Linked DNA regions of Kluyveromyces lactis. The protein of the gene in region 2 interacts with the protein of the main gene of each other region in a biochemical or structural test. Links are inferred from orthologs where the notes say so. Each region holds a gene or a part of one and is shown on either strand. Other genes may lie near its edges.

Region 1 (2,338 bases), on a different chromosome or scaffold from region 2:
TTTGAATGTTCTACTTGATCAGAGGAGTTGTTCTCCTCATTCCAGGTGGGAAATTCGGTGGAACGCAGCTGTCCGCTCGCCGAGGGTTCAAACCCCCGGTGAGTTATAATCAAGCAAATCCCTAACGGGATTTTCGCTTCGTGAGAAGGTTGTTTCTAATGGAACTTCAGCTTGAGCCCTATTGTCGTTGTTATAATAAATCAAGTCGCCAGTTCTTCTCTAATGGAGACCACGTGACATGGGAGGGACAACGGACGGACAGTTTAGCTTGTCATTTACGACAATGCCTAGTTGAGTGCAATGCAGGGAGTCTGCAACTTACGCAGATAACACAATACCGATTACCTTGTGTCTGAGGAGCATCTTTTTTTGGCCAGTCATATGGCAATGAAATGCAAACCTTTCTATATACAGAAACAGAATGAATATACATGGGAGAGATAGTCCTTAAAATCTATGGTAATCGTAGTAGCTACGATAAAATGTTATGATATAATGTTATAATATAATGTTATAATATAATGAAGTATGTACAGAATAAAATTTGAGGTTGGTAGGGAGAATTTCTTCTTTAAACCTTTTAACGACCCATGGTTTGATTCATGGCAGCATTTTGCTCTTGGAAACGTTGACCCACACGTTCACTGTGTTTCAAGAACTTTTCTGAACATCTCATTATACAGTTTTGTTCCTTAGAAGTAAGCTTAGCGGATGTGAAGTCGTTGACACAGTCGCTGAAACATCTTTCGACCAAGTTGGAGTATAGACGCATGAAATCCTTCATTTGCTTTTGTTCCACGATTTTTTGGAACTCTTGTTGTTCCTTACCATTAAGTTGATCCATTGTGTGCTTGCTTCTTTTCTTATCCGGGGTATATGATAATTAATCTTACCAATTGGATGACAAACAGTCTGGAGGAAGTTTGAGAGGGCTTATCGCAATGGTTGTAATGGTTTAAAACTCTTTTTCGATGATGTAGTTTCTGGTTTTTAAATCTCACATAATGAAAGAGAGAGAGAGAAGCAAACAAAAAATTTTCAGTTCAATACAACAGATCACGTGATCTTTTTGTAAGATGAAGTTGAAGTAGTGTTGCACCGTGCCAATGCAGGTGGCTATTAGATTAAATATGTGATTTGTTCTATTAAGTTTCCTGTATAATTAATGGGGAGCGCTGATTCTCTTTTGGTACGCTTCCCATCCAGCATTTCTGTATCTTTCACCTTCAACCTTAGGATCTCTACCCTTGGCGAAAAGTCCTCTGCCAACAATGATGATATCTGATCCACCACTTACAACTTCGTCGACGGTTCTGTACTGCTGACCCAATGCATCGCCTTTGTCGTCTAAACCTACACCTGGGGTCATGATTAGCCAATCAAACCCTTCTTCTCTTCCTCCCATATCGTTCTGAGCAATGAACCCAATAACGAAATCTTTATCACTCTTTGCAATATCAACGGTACCCTTAGTATATTCACCGTGTGCTAGAGAACCCTTGGAAGACAATTCAGCAAGCATCAATAATCCCCTTGGTTCTTTGGTGACCTCTTGCGCACCTTGTTTCAAGCCAGCAACAATACCAGCACCAGTAACCCCGTGGGCGTTGGTGATATCAGACCATTCTGCGATACGGTAAACGCCCGATGTATATTGTAATTTGACTGTGTTACCGATATCGGCGAATTTTCTGTCCTCAAATATCAAGAACTTGTATTTCTCTGCCAATGCTTTCAATGGAACGACAGTACCCTCATAACTGAAATCATCCAAGATATCAACGTGTGTTTTCAAAAGGCAAATGTATGGACCCAACGTTTCAACAAGTTTCAATAGCTCATCAGTCGAACGAACGTCAAGAGAAGCACACAAATTGGTCTTCTTTTCATCCATTAAACGTAAAAGTTTCGATGCAACCGGACTTGCATGAGTCTCAGCTCTACTGGTATATGATTTTGTGGACATGGTGCAACTAATTGACGGGAGTGTATTGACGCTGGCGTACTGGCTTTCACAAAATGGCCCAATCACAACCACATCTTAGATAGTTGAAATGACTTTAGATAACATCAATTGAGATGAGCTTAATCATGTCAAAGCTAAAAGTGTCACCATGAACGACAATTCTTAAGCAAATCACGTGATATAGATCCACGAATAACCACCATTTGATGCTCGAGGCAAGTAATGTGTGTAAAAAAATGCGTTACCACCATCCAATGCAGACCGATCTTCTACCCAGAATCACATATATTTATGTACCGAGTACCTTTTTTCTATCTTCCAATTGCTTCTCCCATATGATTGTCTCCGTAAGCTCGAAATTTCTAAGTTGGA
Region 2 (3,034 bases):
GTAGCTCCGGTATTCACTGTGAGTAAATATAACAATAAAAGAGTAAATGTAGTCCTTATGGGAGATATTTTATGGTTACAAAGGAGAAACAGAACAGAATCAAGATTTGAGCCAATTTTTCTCTACCAATTACTGGATCTAATTTGAAAACAGAATAAGCATGGCATATCATTAGGAAAATGTCTTTATGTAGTGTTTATACACGCTATCAGAACATTTCATTGGATTTTTGTTCGTTTTCACATTGCCATTATGTCGAATGGAATTGTAGAATGTAATAAGAATGTATGTTAATTTTTTTTTTATTGGACAAAGAAGGCGAGTTCGATGAACAGGTCAGTTCATTACGAGAGCCATGGGCTTTTATTTGAATTGGATATAACACAAACAAGGGAACCACGTAATTTTTTTAATTTCTTTAGCTTTAGTTTTATTATCTTTGTTCAAACGTCAGAATTCATGATGCTCATTGGCAAATTTAAAAAAGTATCTTTAACGGCAGCAGTTCAGGGTCGGGAAGATTCTATTTCTTTTCATCGTCAGTGTTCGTGACAGCGGCAGCTTCAGGAGTATCCTTTAGTTGAGGGTTTTCTTCCACATATTTTTCCAAGACAGGTTCGAAAACGGCATTTTCAGTTTGTACTTCAACAGTAGAGGTGGCAGTTGAAACCGGGGTAGTGCTCTTATCCTCGATTTTTGAAGCTTCTGCAGAAGCTTCTTCTTCATCCTTGATTTGTTCAGCATAATAGTCTGGGTATTTTCTGAAACAATTTTGCATAGTGGAGAACTTCTCAACACAGTTGATACCCTTTGGATCAGCTTCAGAGTAGACAAAACATGAAAAAGCGGACTTAAACTCTTCACCGCAAGGACCGTATGCCATACCACCTAAACAAGGACAATCCCAGTTGATTTCACCAGTTTCTGGGTTGTATGCAGTTTGTTGTTCGTTTTTTTTTTCACCTTGAACACCTGCAGCCGCAGCAGCCGCAGTAGCGGACTGTTCAGCAGTGCCACCGGAGATAGACCGAATTTCAGCTTGCTCTTCTGCTTCTGTTATGGTCTCAGCTTCAGCAGGAGATTTTTCATGCAAAACAACATCCGATTCACCTTCTGAACCGTCTTTTGAGGCGGTTTTTACGGCATCTGGGCTTGTTTGTTGAATCTCCTTTTTGTCAGCTTCATCTTCTAAAACAACACCCTTGGCAGTTTTTGAGTCATCGAAGCTCAAAGAGGGAGCTTTGGTATCCTCGGAAATGCCAGTAACAGGTTCATTGGTGGCTTCTCCACTGGCAGCTGGTTCGGTAGCTTGTTCATTGACGGATTCAGCAACTGGCTCAATGGCAGCTGGCTCATCTCCTGATAAGGTGGCTGCTAAGGCCTGGTGTGTCTCCTCGCTATAAGTAATCTCGTTCTCAGGAGTAGTAACTGGCTCAGCACCTTCCTCCTGAGCAGACACCGGAGATTCATCGGCATCCTTCGTAGGTTCAGAAATAGATTGTGATTGGCCCGCTGCAGGAGTCTCTTCAGCAGGCTTCTCAGCAGGAGCAGGCTTCCTCTCAATCAAAGTAGGACACCCATCAGCAACGTAGATGGCACCAAGAGTACTGAACCCAGCCAACAACAATGCTGGCTTGTTCATATGGCTCACTCCACCGGAAGGTGGATGAGCACTGTAAAACCTAATTTGTCTAGCGGATCTAAAAGCAACACGTCTAGTAGCTTGTAAAGAAACACGGAACATTGTCTTCAAAAAAATATGTATATGCCTATAATCAATTGACTCGTCAGCAACTTTCAAACGTTTTCTAAGTGTACTGTAAAAATACCAAACCTAACTAAAAGCAAATTTCTTTCCTCCCGTTGTGGGTATCAATCAGCTTCTCTTTTAAATGTTCCTTTGACAAATTGAAAATGCCTTTGTTAGCAAAAAAAAGAAAAATTCGAATATCAAACAAAATGGATATTGAAGCATTGTGATATGAGGATGGGAAATGATGATGTATTTTGAAGATAACACGGAGACGAGAAGGACAGTGTTATAGTACACGTATAGGGGATCTAAGAATAGTTAAGTTTGGGCAAAATAGTAGCTTTTTTTCTCATTTGACAAGTGGGAGAAAACAGGATACAGGATACAAGGATGAAGATATATTACATTGGAGTTTTAAGAAACAGCGATGATAAGACCCTTGAATTAAGTTCTGTGAAGGACTTATCACAATTTGGGTTCTTTGAAAGGAACAGTGTTGCACAGTTCATGTCCTTTTTCAGTGAGACTGTTGCTGGCAGGACAAGTGCTGGTCAAAGACAGAGTGTTGAAGAAGGTAACTATGTAGGTCACGTTTACGCAAGGCCTGAAGGAATTTGTGGTGTTTTGATTACGGATAAGGAGTACCCAGTAAGACCAGCTTATACGTTGTTGAACAAAGTATTGGATGAGTATTTGGTAGCGCACCCTCCTATCCAGTGGAAGGACGTGACGGAGAGTGACGATTCGCTCAAGTTGAAGGAGTTGGATATCTATATTGCCAAGTATCAGGACCCATCTCAAGCTGATGCAATAATGCGTGTACAGCAAGAATTAGACGAGACCAAGATCACGCTACACAAAACCATTGAAAACGTATTACAAAGAGGTGAGAAATTGGACAATTTGGTAGACAAGTCCGAATCACTATCTGCTGCATCGAGGATGTTCTATAAGCAAGCAAAGAAAACCAATTCGTGCTGTATAGTTATGTAGACGGATTTGAAATAGAGGCCAAAACATGGCCAGCCTGATCATATATAGCCCTTGCTACGAGTATTAAGCATAATAGTAATCAAAATAAAGTAATAGTAAGGTTTCACCGGCGTTTTGACCGCCACCTTTGATCAGCCTTTCGTTCCTTCCTGTCCACTAGGGTCTGATTTATCTATCATCATCTGGCTGAGTACGGGCAGCGGATCAATTTTGAAAGAAATTTTCTCCAAAAAAAACGACCCCGGAGAGGATTGAACTCTCGATCTTGCGATTAACAGTCGCACGCCT
Region 3 (2,877 bases), on a different chromosome or scaffold from region 2:
AGAATTCGTCATTTTAAAGCTGTAGAATTTCGGGATAACGTTAAACTTCCTGACGAACGTTTTCATAAAACGAATAACGTTGTAAAGAGGAACTAGAAGAGTTTTGGTTCACCAGATCAGATTTGAAAGGACTAATTTACAGACAGTTTTATTTAAATTAATGCATGCATGCGCTCATTGTAAACTTTTCTGAAGATGGAGATGAGCATTCGAGAGACAACGCAGGTGAAAAAAAATGAATAATCACGTGCTCTTCTTCTTTTTCTTTTGTTTCAATGATACTATTAAAAAGACACAATTATTAACAGAACCTAGCTTCTAAGACTATGCTTTTAATTGCATAAATGATTTTTGTATAGTTGTAGGTATACTAAAGTTGGAATTTGGAATTTCTGGTTATCGCAGTATTTACAGGAATGAGGATGGGGTAGTCGAAAACCTTCCAAACCTTCCAAACATTGATATATGTATAAATATTCTTCTCTTCGCAAAGTTTCGTCATAATGGGTCAGCTGCCATTGTCGCATTAGATTCAAACTTCAAAGCCATATCCCTTCATACAGGTCTTATACTTAGCGATCAACTCATCGCACTTACCGGATTCTTGGCCATTAAATAGAAGACATTCGTCTCTAGCTTCCTTTTCTGGCTTGCAAACACAGCATGGCTTTGGCTTAGTAGCCTCTGTCTCTGTCTTAACTGGAGCAGTGTTGGTCTCTTGTGGCATTGTTTCTATAGAGTTTTGCTGTTGGGATGTGTCTGGATATTGAACTGAAAGGTATCAGGTTAAATGGTGACAGATTAAAGGGCTGGTTTCAATAACTTACCTACAATTCTTTACAAACCATCGACATGTTAGTTGTATTACTAAATCCTGTGAGAAGCTTCTCAGTAGTTACCTTTTTGAACTTTTAACATTCAGTGTCTGATTTCATTACCCGGATAATGCTCATGTGACTTGTCCGATTGATTATCTAATCCGCCATATATGGTAAAAATGTTCGAACGAAGAGTCCATATGGAGAGCTGCTGGAAGTTGAATTACAGGCTCGATAGAGTTCTCCTAGAGATAAATAAGAAGTTGGTACATTGTATAGAATATCAAAACCACCAGATCAGCTTTCAATTTCAACTGATTGCTGAGTTTGCAATATCAGTCACGTGGTAATTTTATATCTCCTATCACCTCTCTTATACTCTTCATCCTTAACTTAGGGCAGTAAAATGAAAAGCGGACAGTAGGTTCAGTTTGAACATGAGGTCTCATTAAAGCTAGCAGCTGGATCCCTCACATTGCAGCATTACCGTTCCACGTATGATGATGTCAAAGCTTCCCTTTTTGTTAAGGGGAGACTTTGCACGTTGGAAACGAAAATTTCTCACTGAATTGATGGAGAGCTGAAAAAAATGTGAAATAACAAAATGTGCAAAATATAATGTTTGATACGGACATACTGATGCACTAGATTGGAAATTCAGGTGCATAGTAAAACCCTACTTCACTCTGGTATTGTCATAACCCAAGTGCTCATTGAAATATAGTGTTACAACGATTCAATTGTGTTATCGTGTTTACGCTGGTGTTGAAAAAACCAAGTACGTTGATCATTTTGCGTTCTTAGTTAATCACTGGTTTTTATCAGACTTTGATTTGACACTATTTGTAATTAAAGACAATAATATATCTTCAACAGCAATTTGTAATTTTAATTTCTGTTGACAAAAACACAATCGATTATAGTCTCACTTCATTTTGGCATAATCTTTGTCAGAAGTTGGATAATAATCATTTTCCTTATAATAATCTGTCCTGTTTGGATTCTTAAGTGCTGGTTTATGGGTACTTGTATTCATTTGTAAATTCAACCACTCAAGACAAACCACAGTGCGAGAGAAAGAAGAGGTCAACTATGAATCCACAACCGAAAGAAACTAATCGAAGCTCCATCTCCTCGGGAGCAAGAAACAGTGCTGGCAGTGCTTCTTCAAATAACAGTATCTCAAGTAAAAATAGCGGTAGGGAGTTACAACCACGAAGCGATACCGATAGCGAATGGCAAGACGTTGGTATGCCCACTTTTAAAGAGGACTATTCCATAGATGCAATTACGAAGAAGGTGAAACCTGGGAAAAAGGGTTTCCATTCTGCTATAGTTCGTGATGCTGGATCATTCGCGCACAATCCTCAACCACCTTTGGCAAAACCGGTGAAACCCACTTTTGAAAGGTCCCGGACTGCAAACCTGACCGCAACTTCATCAAGAGGTAACCTGCCGCTACTTTCGCGCACTTCCAGTACGCTGTCAGTATCAACAGCTACTTCACATGGACATAAAGGAACTACCAAACCGTCACGTGCAACTAATTTCTTCAAGAAACTTACCAGCAGGAAATCATCTCTGGCAAGCCAAGGAGGGCCTCCAGATTCAGATAATCAAATAAGCCAAGGTGGCAGAGTGTCGGCTTCAGATGGTGAACAGCAGTCACCCTTTCATCAACAGTCTCTGCAACAGCAAGTTCCCACTAACGCTTTGCGGAGAAAGATGAGCACATTCATACATGGTTCTTCAACCATGTCTGCGGCGTCTACTTTGACATCCGCAAATGCTCCTCATATGAAACACTCTGGGTCTAAGGGCAGCTCCCTGTTACATTCAGGTAACGAAGCCAGCAATGGTTCAAATTTAAGCGGTGGGAATGCGACAAGTGGCGTTTCGAACCAACAACATGGAGTAAGTTCTGCAGGCAGAAGTATTGACACAGACCTGTCAAGAAGAAATTCAGGGACCTCATTTGATGCTTCTAAATTATCAGCCGCTAAAGAAATATTTGGTGTTGACCTAGATTTAGACAAACTTTCTGATATGACGGATGTCG

What was found.
Region 1: the proteins of MIA40 (region 2) and TIM9 form a complex in vitro, tested with the Saccharomyces cerevisiae proteins (4 studies listed by BioGRID). The link is inferred for Kluyveromyces lactis from reciprocal best matches to the Saccharomyces cerevisiae genes MIA40 and TIM9.
Region 3: the proteins of MIA40 (region 2) and COX17 form a complex in vitro, tested with the Saccharomyces cerevisiae proteins (2 studies listed by BioGRID). The link is inferred for Kluyveromyces lactis from reciprocal best matches to the Saccharomyces cerevisiae genes MIA40 and COX17.

The regions. Positions count from the first base shown.
Region 1 is NC_006041.1:2,034,623-2,036,960, reverse strand, and holds TIM9 (protein transporter TIM9), read right to left. Parts: upstream 845-2,338; coding exon 581-844; downstream 1-580. Other genes in the region: URA3 (orotidine-5'-phosphate decarboxylase), read right to left, coding at 1,163-1,966. UniProt on the Saccharomyces cerevisiae protein: Mitochondrial intermembrane chaperone that participates in the import and insertion of multi-pass transmembrane proteins into the mitochondrial inner membrane.
Region 2 is NC_006040.1:228,276-231,309, reverse strand, and holds MIA40 (Mia40p), read right to left. Parts: upstream 1,745-3,034; coding exon 524-1,744; downstream 1-523. Other genes in the region: mRNA splicing protein SPP382, read left to right, coding at 1-147; palmitoyltransferase YKT6, read left to right, coding at 2,144-2,746. UniProt on the Saccharomyces cerevisiae protein: Required for the import and folding of small cysteine-containing proteins (small Tim) in the mitochondrial intermembrane space (IMS). Forms a redox cycle with ERV1 that involves a disulfide relay system.
Region 3 is NC_006042.1:1,445,839-1,448,715, forward strand, and holds COX17 (copper metallochaperone COX17), read right to left. Parts: upstream 1,486-2,877; coding exon 1,456-1,485; intron 695-1,455; coding exon 533-694; downstream 1-532. Other genes in the region: MEU1 (S-methyl-5-thioadenosine phosphorylase), read right to left, coding at 1-66; CYR1 (adenylate cyclase), read left to right, coding at 1,911-2,877. UniProt on the Saccharomyces cerevisiae protein: Copper chaperone for cytochrome c oxidase (COX). Binds two copper ions and deliver them to the Cu(A) site of COX.